Linked DNA regions of Tribolium castaneum. The protein of the gene in region 1 purifies or fractionates together with the protein of each later gene. This does not show direct contact. Links are inferred from orthologs where the notes say so. Each region holds a gene or a part of one and is shown on either strand. Other genes may lie near its edges.

Region 1 (2,766 bases):
ATCTTTGATGCAAGAAACGTATGTTGACAAATGAGAGATGACGAGGAAAACACGAATAACGAATGACTGTTTGGTTCACTTTCTTTATTGGAAAATTATTACAAAGACATTGAAAAGCCTACCTTTTGGCATAACTTACGTTTAAATGTATCAGAAGTTGTTAATCTTTATTGTAGTTTTGTAGATTTACCGCAGCATTTCATGATTTTTTCAGTGGAAAATTCTAACCTAAAATTCGTAACACTTCACTAATTTATTGGTTTCTTGAGCCAAACTTTGTGTTCGCTGTGATCCATTACTAATAATCATTGATTAGACAACTGTTTGATAACACTTTGTAATCAAAATTTAAATATTTTTCACTTTTTATCCACTTTCAAGTTCCAACAGTAAACACTTTATACCACGAAAAACTACAGAACCAAAGTCAACGCTAGTATTTACCACCACGTACTTTTAAAATAATTCTTTCTATTGTAAATAATTAACACTATACACGCAAAATTGTTGAACAATTCATTAAATGTCAGTTAAATGTGGCATTACGAAAATTTCTTTACTGTTTTCGACATAGTTCAAAAGTCATCACCAGAGGGCGTCTAGTTAATTTTATTTCCGAATACTCTCGTTGCTACAGTTTGACTAACCCTGAAACAAATTGGTAACCCGACACGTTTCCTTCGGTAAAAATTTTAACCTTGGGTAAATCATAACCAAACACTGAAATACGCCAAACCTGGAAATTAATTGGTAACCAGAATATTTTTACTTTAACCATCAACTAAAATACCGAGCGTACGGGTTTAGACGGTTAAATTTATTAGAAACATCAGATCTTTTAAGTAGTTGTATTCGAGTCAACTCTTGGAATCAACAAATAACAGTAAAATTTTCATTATTATTTTATTCTCAATACGAATTAAATGACAATTTCATATTTTTCTTATAAGAAAAACTTCAAATTTCGAACGTTAAATGGCCGTTTATGTTTTAGTAACTGATAAAAAACTTATCACCGTCATCTTATTGTTCTTAAATACAAAAAGCTTATGTTTTTAATTCTAAACTTTTACAAAAATATGTTAAAAACTTAAAGATCCACGTTGCGGTATTGCACTAATGATGGTCAAATTGCAAATTCATACTGTCAGGAAGTATTAGGTCAATTACACAACAGATTGCTTTGCATGTACTACAAAATAATTAGGGTATCCTGTTTTACCACAGTATACCATTTTAGGTAACCTTTTCGTAATTCTCCAAAATTTTGATTTGAAGGCGTTTTAAATTGTTGTTCTACTCAGGTTTGTAACGAGACGAAAATCCTCGAGGTCCACATCGACAAAGGAATGAAAGACGGTCAGAAAATCTTCTTCCGTGGCGAGGGCGACCAACAGCCCGACATCGAACCCGGCGATGTCATCATCATACTTAACGAGAAATCCCATGAAACGTTCCAAAGAAGCGGCGACGATTTGCTCATGAATCGCACCATTAGTCTGACGGAAGCTCTCTGTGGCTTCAGTTTCGTGTTGCGCCAGTTGGACGGGCGCGATTTGTTAATCAAACACCCACCAGGGGACATTGTGAAACCAGGCGATTTGAAAGCAGTGATGGGCGAAGGTATGCCCATGTACAAAAATCCCTTCGAAAAGGGAAATCTCTATATCACCTTCGAAATCACATTCCCGGAGAGTAATTTCGCAGACGAGAAGACCCTCAAATCATTAGAGAGTATGCTGCCGCCGCGGCCCGTCTTTCAAATGCCTGAAGGCGAAAACGTGGAAGAAGTTGACTTGCATCATTTCGATTCGGCGAATGACAAGGGGGCGCATGGAAGCAGAGGGGAAGCGTATGCGAGCGACGACGAGGATCACATGCATGGACCGGGCATACAGTGCGCACATCAATAGAACTATTTTCGCAGTGTTGCTCTGCAGCTTTCTAAATAAGGATTTATATCTGTAGATCAATTATACTATCCGTTAATTTTTTGTCGTACCTAATTGTATATTTTTTATTTATTCTTTTACCTTCTTAGAGAATATTATTAATGCCACTTTTATTTCCAAACATCAAATTGTTTGTTGTAATAAAGAAAATGCCTGGTTTTGATTTAATTCATTTACGGACAAATTTACATTGCAAAGTACAGATTGTTAAAATTTGTACATGTACGAGTATTAACGGAAAATGTTAATAAAGATGTAACTTCTCTTAATAAAACTTTGTTTTTGTAGAAACATTTACTCTGTAATACCTTTTAAATAAAGTAAAAACTTAGCTGCTTAGTAAATGCTACGGCTTTCCTCATGTAAAGTGAAAATATTTATTGATGATTATGTAGCACCTTGTACGAAGATCATTAAGTGTAGTACCCTTTCTATTTGGACAAATTCACACATGTATCAAGCCAGTAAAACAAAATTTTTATAACTCCCGGTATATTCCCACGCATGCGCTCATTCTTTGTAAAGTCAATTGTCGCAACTTTAGGGTGAAGTGGTAAACCACGGGGATGGGAGGGACTGATCTTCGTACAAGGTGCTACATATAATCAAGATCGAACTTCACTTGGTAAGTTTGTTTGATCTTCTGATTGTATTAGCACCTTGCACTTAGACCATTAAGTGTAGATGTTGAAAGCTGTTGCGACAAACGAGTGTTCCAATCAAGGAAGATATAAAGTAAGAGTCTACAAGTCTTAACACAATTGTGTTTTCATTTTTGTTTATTATATTTTTTCTTCTGCTCCTATTCAAGTAT
Region 2 (4,407 bases), about 15 Mb from region 1:
TAGTTTTTTGCGTTTTTGGCCGCTTTCCGAATCTGATAACTGTATTAAACGTGAGACCATATCACGAGGAGGAAAAGGCGCGCTTACCTCACTAGTGTTAATCACATCAGTGTTTTCTTTATTAAGTGTTGTTTTCGAATTTGGAATAACTCCATTCTCGCGGGCTGTAAGAATAATTATTGAAGGGTAAAATACAATAGGGTGTCGTTACGTACGCCTTTTAATACCAGAGGGTGAAACTTTTACGACACCGTCACCGCGATAAGGGGGCGACTTCATTGAAGATAAGTGTGCAAAAGGTCGAGTATTTGTCGTGGTCAAAAATTCCGAGGAATTTTGAAGCCTACGCAGTCTTTGAAGTAGTAAAGGCACAAGTCGTCCGTTTTGTTCCCTATTTTTTGGTAATTAACTGCGATAAGACCAAAGCGGAAACTTACCTAAAACGTGTGGCAATTTCTGGAATTTCCATTGCAGCAGCTAAAAGCCCCGTTGCGTAACTTTGCAGAGGTTCTATTGAATTTGTAGTCCATTTAATTAAACGGTGAATCAAATTATCCATATCGGGCTGAAACTAGTCGTTAGTTTTCCCCCCAAAAAAATAATTGACACGTACTTGAAACACCACTGATGTCTCTAAGCCAGGCATTACGTCTAGCATCAACCTACAAGCTGCAATATTCAACTGATCAACATCCTTGTCTGTGATTCCTGACCGAGAGTAGTACGTTTCTCTCAAATAATCGTTAACAAGCTGAAAAAATATTTATGTGTGTCTTTTTATGTTTTTGTGGAGAGTTAATACTTTGTTCATAAAAATATCCTTCCTAAAAAGCGCTTTTAAAATTTGGCCAAGTTTGCAGTCAGGATCAGTTCGTGAAGGGTGGCGTTCATCAAATGGGTCAGGATCCATTTTCAGGTAATTTTCAGTCTCCACCTCGCATATTTCGGCCAATCTGCCAACAAAAGGGTAAGAATTTGCCAAATTAAGGCAAGATCTACCTGGTGAGTGTCTGAATGGGGTCATAATTAGGCGCCGTATGTTCATCTTCCCAGTTTCTTATCAGAGTTGTGACTTCTGACATAACAGAAGTCGAATTGCTGTTTTCCGACATTATTGGCTCAAAACGTTATAAAATAAAGGGCATGAGGTAGTTTAACATAACCTAAAATACTTTACAGTTCCGTAATTGCAAGGTGAGATAATTAGGACACCGGGAGACTGGCAAAAACAATGCGATAATGTGAACTCTACACTTCTGGCTTGTAAAAAATCGTAATCAGTTTGATTATTTCACAAATTGGCGCAATACACATTCACAAAGCGCAAAACACAATTCTTGGCTTCCATTGAAAAATCGAGCACGTATGTTACTAAAAAAGTGCCGCCAATGGTACAAAAAAAAAACAGAGCTAAAATAAACCCTTGGGAAATTTAACGAATAGGAAATAAGCTTCGCACTATCGAAATATACACCCCCTTTGCATGTTTTAATTTTAATTTGAGGGTGGTCCCCGTTTGGCTAAAATTCCCACATTCGGTTGACCCATCAATGTTGGTACAAGCACCGTTTTTGGAAGTTTTCACGCCGATTGGTTTGGTTGGTACAATTGATATTTGGTCGATAGAAGAAAAGTCTAGCAATTTCCACGATTTTTGACCATTTTTTCACGAAAAAAGTCCAGTCAAGATGAGTGGCGATGATAATCAGACTGAGCAATTCGATTCCCTCTTCCTGTCAATAGCCCAGCACCATCCGCACGGCGCTTCGCAGGTGAGCCTCGATCTGTTTACTCTAACCTTAAAATCACGACAAAACTGTAGTTATTGGACACTTTTGTGAGTTTTCTAAGCCGCAAGACGGATTTTTTCACCGGGGGCGAGGAAGGAGCATGGGAAAAGGTAGTCCGGGGTAAAGCCAGTTCGAAAAATAATGACCTGGTTTTTAGTTAGTAATGAGCACATTTAGGAAATACGAACAAGTTAGTCGTAAGAAACACGAGACGGAGTTAAAAGAGCGTCGGGAACGTGAAGCCGCCAAAAAGAAGAAACAGCAAGAAGAGGAGAAGGTAAAACCGGCGGAAATCACCGAATTGACTGATGCTGAGGCTGAAAAGTTGCAAGCCGAGTTAGATGCTAAGAAAAGTGGGGTGAGTAATGGGGCCCCAGCTGTTGAGAAAATTGAAGAGGATGAGGATGCCTCAGAGATTGGGAAATTGAAGCCAAACAGTGGCAATGGATGTGATTTGGACAAGTACAGGTGGACGCAGACTCTCCAAGACGTTGAGGTAAGTCTTAGTTTTGTAGAAAATTTATTTGTATAATTTAATTAAAAATCAATTTACAAGATTTCCAAGGAGGTTCGGGACCTGCCTTAAAATTGTTCATAAATACTATACAATGCTGTAATGATTGCTTTTACATATCACAGTAACATCAAAAAATACTTATGGATAGCTTATGATTTAGAACAACCACAATTTTGGTCCAGTTGCTAAACCTAATTAAATAGGGAATTAAATAACTAACTACGATAAGTGCGCACGACATTTCAATGCTTCGTCAATTTTTGGAGAAATGTCGATGCTTGTCCTAATCCTAGTACCGTTGTCTTTTCGCCCTCACTGAAACAATAAAAAATTGGAAATTGGCTGAAATGAAAGCGGAAGAACTTACTTTCTAAGAGAAATATCGCCGCCAAGATCCCTATGGTAAACAAAGCGGACATCGTCAAAACTAGAATCGTCAATTGGTGTTTTCGACAGAAACTTCTTTGCCTGACCACAGGTCTCGTGTTCATATTAACTACGGTAAAATGCATCGAACTTGCCACTGAAACAGCATCTGGGTCTGGTTTCTTCAAATCGTTAACAGGCAGTGCTATGTGATCATTGTTGTTTGTTTGTTCGAGGTAATACTGAATGTTTTGTTGTCTGGTGTTTTTGTCCGTGTCCGGATTTTGTATTTGGGCCAGATTTGCTGCTGTCAGTAGTAACGAACCGGACCTTGCACTCTAAAAATCCAATGATTTTCTTGTCTTAATTTTTTTATTTGTACCTGTGTGCTATTATTGCTAGACGTCGAACCCTGCGAACTCTTTGAGCTTCTAGCTAGTGTGGGTCTGGGGATGTGCCAGCTCTTGTTGAGCTCTGCCGGAGTCTGCAAAAATCAATATTAATGTAATAAAGTAAGTGGTTATTTAATATCGAAGGTCGCGTATTTATTGTTAATTCATCGCATTATGCAAGACGGTAAGCAGGTGTCAAAACGAAATCGGTACATTCTCGTACCGTTCATAAAAATTTCGGATTAATTTATGTTAATTCTGATTTCGGCCTCGTTTTTTATTAATCAATGTACAATTTCCTTATTAAGCCCGTGTTTTTTTCATTGAGCGCCGAACGTGACGCTCATTTTTATTTTATAGATCGTGTTTGTATGACATTTTGTAATAATTGGCTTTGTTGGTAAAAATACACATTGTGGCATTTTATTGTTTGATTCGGTAGCATTGAATTTAATCACCCGCTTAATAAAAGCTGGGAAGATTGACAAGTAATCAGTGAAACACGCTAATACATTTTTATCTCGGTCACGGCCGCCGTTTGTAGTCTAATTTTTCACTAGTGGCCTTTTTCTCGGTATTCTTCCGATGATTTTCAGGCGATAATGACTGTAACCTCTCTCCTGGAATTCGGCGATGTTTTTATTTACGTCTTCTCACAATCGAACCGTCCTTGCTTCAAACCATTAATATTTGTTTTGACACATTCCGGATTCTGCTCATTGCAAGTGACGACATTTGTGGATTTTCTTGTTGCATCATGTTTTAATCACTTAATTCAAACAGAGACGCGTGCTTGGTGCTTTTTGGTAGTCGGAAGAATATTGAAACGTTCAAGGGTACAATTCGGACGAAACAATTGGAAGATAAATTACAAAGTTTCAAGTGAAGGTTTAGCGACCTAAACTTTATAGGTTTATGTAAATTGCAAGCGATTAATGAGTGCGGTATTAATCAACATCAATTAACTGCGTTCGAAGGCGACCTCCACTGCACATCTCAGTAGACAATCTAGATATTCTAATTTATTGAATAGTTACTATGCACGAAACGAATCATTATCACCAACAATATTTATAATCATCCTTTCTCCCGGGTTTGGTGAAATTATTAGAGCGAGCATTTCGGCTCTGAATTAATTCGAGTGATATTCGCTCATTTTTACTACTTCCTCATTTGCTTACATAAACATGTGAGTGAAAATTTCCGGGGTGGTGCGACTCTTGGATTTTTTGTTGAAAAATCTTCATTTAAAGTTATAATTTTAATCGTGTTTTCGGGTCAATGCCAGTCTGTTTACCTTATTTTAAATAATGGGAAAACAAGAGGATGCGTGTTTACACAA
Region 3 (3,297 bases), on another chromosome or scaffold:
GCACTTTCCTGTGAATTTAGAACCCTCTAGAGGTTTTAGAAGTGAAAGAATACGTAAATGAAAAAAATGACAAAGCTATTTCCATTAATAATTTAAAAACTATTGTCCAATCGCCAATCGACTCCGCAGATCATCTTACATACGAGTAATTAAAAACATTTCAGTTTTGTCTAATAGCTTTGGTGTAATTGACAAAATGGGTGCTTATTAGCCAAATATCATAAATTCGACTTAAAACCTATCGCCTTACATTTTGAAGTAGTGATGATTGCGATGAAGCTTGAAGTTTTTTATAAAATTCAGGAAAACAAGTTGTAGTATAAGAAACTAAGGTAAGGATTAGAATTGGAAGGCAAGAGAAACAAGAAAAAAACTTCCACATTTATTAAAAAAATATAAGTGTATGATCCAAATAACAAGAAATATCACCGAATTCCCCCGAATCACCTTTAAATTCCCCCAGTGATGTCAACAGAGGCCCCATCAACGTATGAGCTTTTATCAGAGGCCAAAAATGCAATAACTTCTCCCACCTCTAAAACCCAAAAAAATAATCCCACATCAATTTTTTTCATCAAAAATACCCTCAGGTTTGCCAAACCGGCCCAAAGGGATAAATTTAAGACTCTTCTCCCTAACTTTCTCAGGGACTGCGTCCGTCATAGGCGTCGCTATCATCCCTGGTAAAACACAATTTACCCGAATTCCAAATTTCCCAAATTCTTTAGCCGCTGTTTTCGTCAAACCTTCAACCCCGGCCTTACTCGCACTGTAATTGGCCTGCCCCAGATTACCATATTTGCCCGAAGTACTGGCAATGTTCACAATAGAGCCCCCTTGCACCCCCTGCTCGATTATAGCCCTGGCGAAGGTCTGAATGACCATGAACGTGCCCTTAAACCCTCGTCTAACATTTATTTGCAAAATGCGATTTGTTATATTTTACTTTTAAGTTAATCCTGATCACATCATCAAAATTATTTTCAGTCAGTTTGACCAAAAAATCGTCGCGTGTGATACCAGCGGAATTTACGATAATTGAAGGTGGCTTTTTGTACTGTTGGAGCACCGATTTTAAGGCACTTTCTATGCTTTTTTGCTCCCCCACGTCCAGCTCTAACGAGATGTGACTCTGAGAGCCCCCTTGTACGATATTGGTCACAGTTTCGTTACAACTGGCCAAGTTGCGGTCAGCTGCGACCACGGAAGCCCCCTCACGGGCCAAAATGCCGCAAGTTGCCCGGCCAATGCCCGACCCAGCCCCTTACATAACCTCACAATAAAATAAAGGAAAAAAATTGCAAAAATTACCTGTTACGAAAGCCAATTTCCCAGCCAAACTCCCGGCCATTGTTTACACAGTCTTATCACACTTATCACTACATTAAAAGTGTTTATCATCACTATTTACATATCAAAAACTGAGGTTATGTAACCGTGAACCTAACCTCAAAATAATCGTTATATCGCATTTTTTTAACAAATACGTGATGGCGGGGCACAAAATCAAAACCCTGGCCCTTGTGAGCTCCTTCGGCCTAAGTTCCTTCCTTGCTGGTAGTTATTACGAGCGAAAAATTGCCCAAGACCCACCTAACCTTAAAAAATTCCCGGGACTTCCGATTTTCGGGACTGTCTCAGCCGCAACCCCCGTCTCACCCGTCCCGTCCCAAACCAATGTTAGTCGAATTTCGCAAATCATGAAATACGGGTTTCCGGGTCTTGACAATATCCGTTCCTTCGATAATTACGTTTTAAGTTATGATAAACGAAACAGGGTGGCTCACTGGGTTTTCGAGCACATTACGGCCGAAAGTATCAAGCCAAACGAAGGCGTGGACCGGTCTTTGTGCCAATTTATGCCGGACGAAAGCATACATCCGTATTTCAGGTCAGGAGTTGGGTTTGTTCAATGTGTTGGAAGGGGGCTCATTTGGGGGTTGCAGGTCGCTCAATTCGGATTACTTGAAGTCGGGGTACGACCGGGGGCACCTGGCGGCGGCCGGGAACCACAAATGCAGCCAAAAACTGGTCGAGCAGACTTTTTATTTGTCGAATATGGCCCCACAAGTGGGGGTCGGGTTTAATCGAGACGCGTGGAATAAATTGGAGAGATATGTGAGGAAGCTGACGAAGACTTACACTAATGTGTACTGCTGCACTGGACCTTTATACTTGCCCAGGTCCGGCCCTGTTCTTTTTTTTTCAATTGATTATTGTTATTTTTTGTTAAAGGCGGGAACCAGACGGGAAAAATTACGTCAAGTATGAAGTGATTGGAGCAAATCATGTTGCAGTCCCGACGCATTTTTTCAAAGTCGTGGTTTGTGAAACTAGTGACGGAAAATTTGAAATGGAGTCTTATGTGATGCCCAATCAGGCTATCAGTGATGAGACCCCGTTGACGAGTTTTAGGGTTTGCAAATTTTTAGATTAAGGAATTTTGGGTCAATTATGGGTTTTAGGTGCCCCCTGAAAGCATTGAAAAGGCGGCTGGACTTTTATTTTTCGACAACATATCAAGGAGCAAGATTAGTAAAATTAATGGTAAAAAAAATTAATTAGTGCTTGACTAGGTTTTAATGTGTTTTTCTCGTGTTATATTTATTTTTTGTTGAATGATGTGTTCCAATACAGTATTTTATAATAGATTCTTGCGTTTTTTTCCAAATCATGATTATTTAACTTGGAAACGTATACACCAAAAATAGCGGATTATAAATATTATAATGCAGAAGGAAGTGTTGCAGTGGCGGAACTAGCTCCTAATTTTTGGGTGGGCACATAGGTGGGCCAACAAAATTTTTGTTGGGCACATAACACCTAACATCAGTGTAATATTCTTCTCGTAACGACATTGTCCAGATTTTAGTTAATTTTGCATGTTGCCAAACTAACAAACTGATCAAAAAATGATATACTAAAAAAAAAAAAATCTGCAGCCGCCTGAAAAATAATATCAAAGGCATTTTCTATGAAACTTTGAATTGTACCAGTTTTGTCTTCCAGCAAAAATTTTCTCGCTTTTTTGAGCAGTTTAGTTTTTGACTCCACATTTTAATATATTTGTACCTACAGATTGCATTCTCACTCGCTTATAAATCTTATAATACTGTTAGTTTTCATCAGTTTGTAGTAGATTTATTTAAAACTAGTAAATTGTTAATAAATATTAAATAATAAGTTAGATTAGATTATAATTACTTACAATGTAGCAAAATTCCTCTATTGAGTTTATACAGACCGCTATTTTTGATTCGATTCTATACTTTAGTTAGAGCCAAACCAAAAATTAAG

The links.
Region 2: the proteins of dnaJ homolog subfamily A member 2 (region 1) and nudC purify together in Homo sapiens (affinity purification with mass spectrometry; 4 studies listed by BioGRID and IntAct, with this or other methods). This does not show direct contact. The link is inferred for Tribolium castaneum from reciprocal best matches to the Homo sapiens genes DNAJA2 and NUDC.
Region 3: the proteins of dnaJ homolog subfamily A member 2 (region 1) and EndoG purify together in Homo sapiens (affinity purification with mass spectrometry; 3 studies listed by BioGRID and IntAct, with this or other methods). This does not show direct contact. The link is inferred for Tribolium castaneum from reciprocal best matches to the Homo sapiens genes DNAJA2 and ENDOG.

Annotation. Positions count from the first base shown.
Region 1 is NC_087398.1:15,888,421-15,891,186, forward strand, and holds the end of dnaJ homolog subfamily A member 2, read left to right. Parts: intron 1-1,304; coding exon 1,305-1,913; 3' UTR 1,914-2,243; downstream 2,244-2,766. UniProt on the Homo sapiens protein: Co-chaperone of Hsc70. Stimulates ATP hydrolysis and the folding of unfolded proteins mediated by HSPA1A/B (in vitro).
Region 2 is NC_087398.1:987,626-992,032, forward strand, and holds the start of nudC (nuclear migration protein nudC), read left to right. Parts: upstream 1-1,580; 5' UTR 1,581-1,688; coding exon 1,689-1,772; intron 1,773-1,822; coding exon 1,823-1,900; intron 1,901-1,947; coding exon 1,948-2,286; intron 2,287-2,293; exon of another isoform or gene 2,294-2,596; coding exon of another isoform or gene 2,597-2,622; intron 2,623-2,674; coding exon of another isoform or gene 2,675-3,011; intron 3,012-3,055; coding exon of another isoform or gene 3,056-3,157; intron 3,158-4,407. Other genes in the region: mahj (protein mahjong), read right to left, coding at 1-39, 88-164, 216-391, 438-565, 614-751, 803-953, 1,000-1,112; uncharacterized protein LOC656652, read right to left, coding at 2,597-2,622, 2,675-3,011, 3,056-3,157. UniProt on the Homo sapiens protein: Plays a role in neurogenesis and neuronal migration. Necessary for correct formation of mitotic spindles and chromosome separation during mitosis. Necessary for cytokinesis and cell proliferation.
Region 3 is NC_087400.1:7,676,541-7,679,837, reverse strand, and holds EndoG (endonuclease G, mitochondrial), read left to right. Parts: upstream 1-1,490; coding exon 1,491-1,891; intron 1,892-1,946; coding exon 1,947-2,183; intron 2,184-2,235; coding exon 2,236-2,416; intron 2,417-2,465; coding exon 2,466-2,561; 3' UTR 2,562-2,651; downstream 2,652-3,297. Other genes in the region: estradiol 17-beta-dehydrogenase 8, read right to left, coding at 450-535, 585-894, 947-1,263, 1,312-1,351. UniProt on the Homo sapiens protein: Endonuclease that preferentially catalyzes the cleavage of double-stranded 5-hydroxymethylcytosine (5hmC)-modified DNA.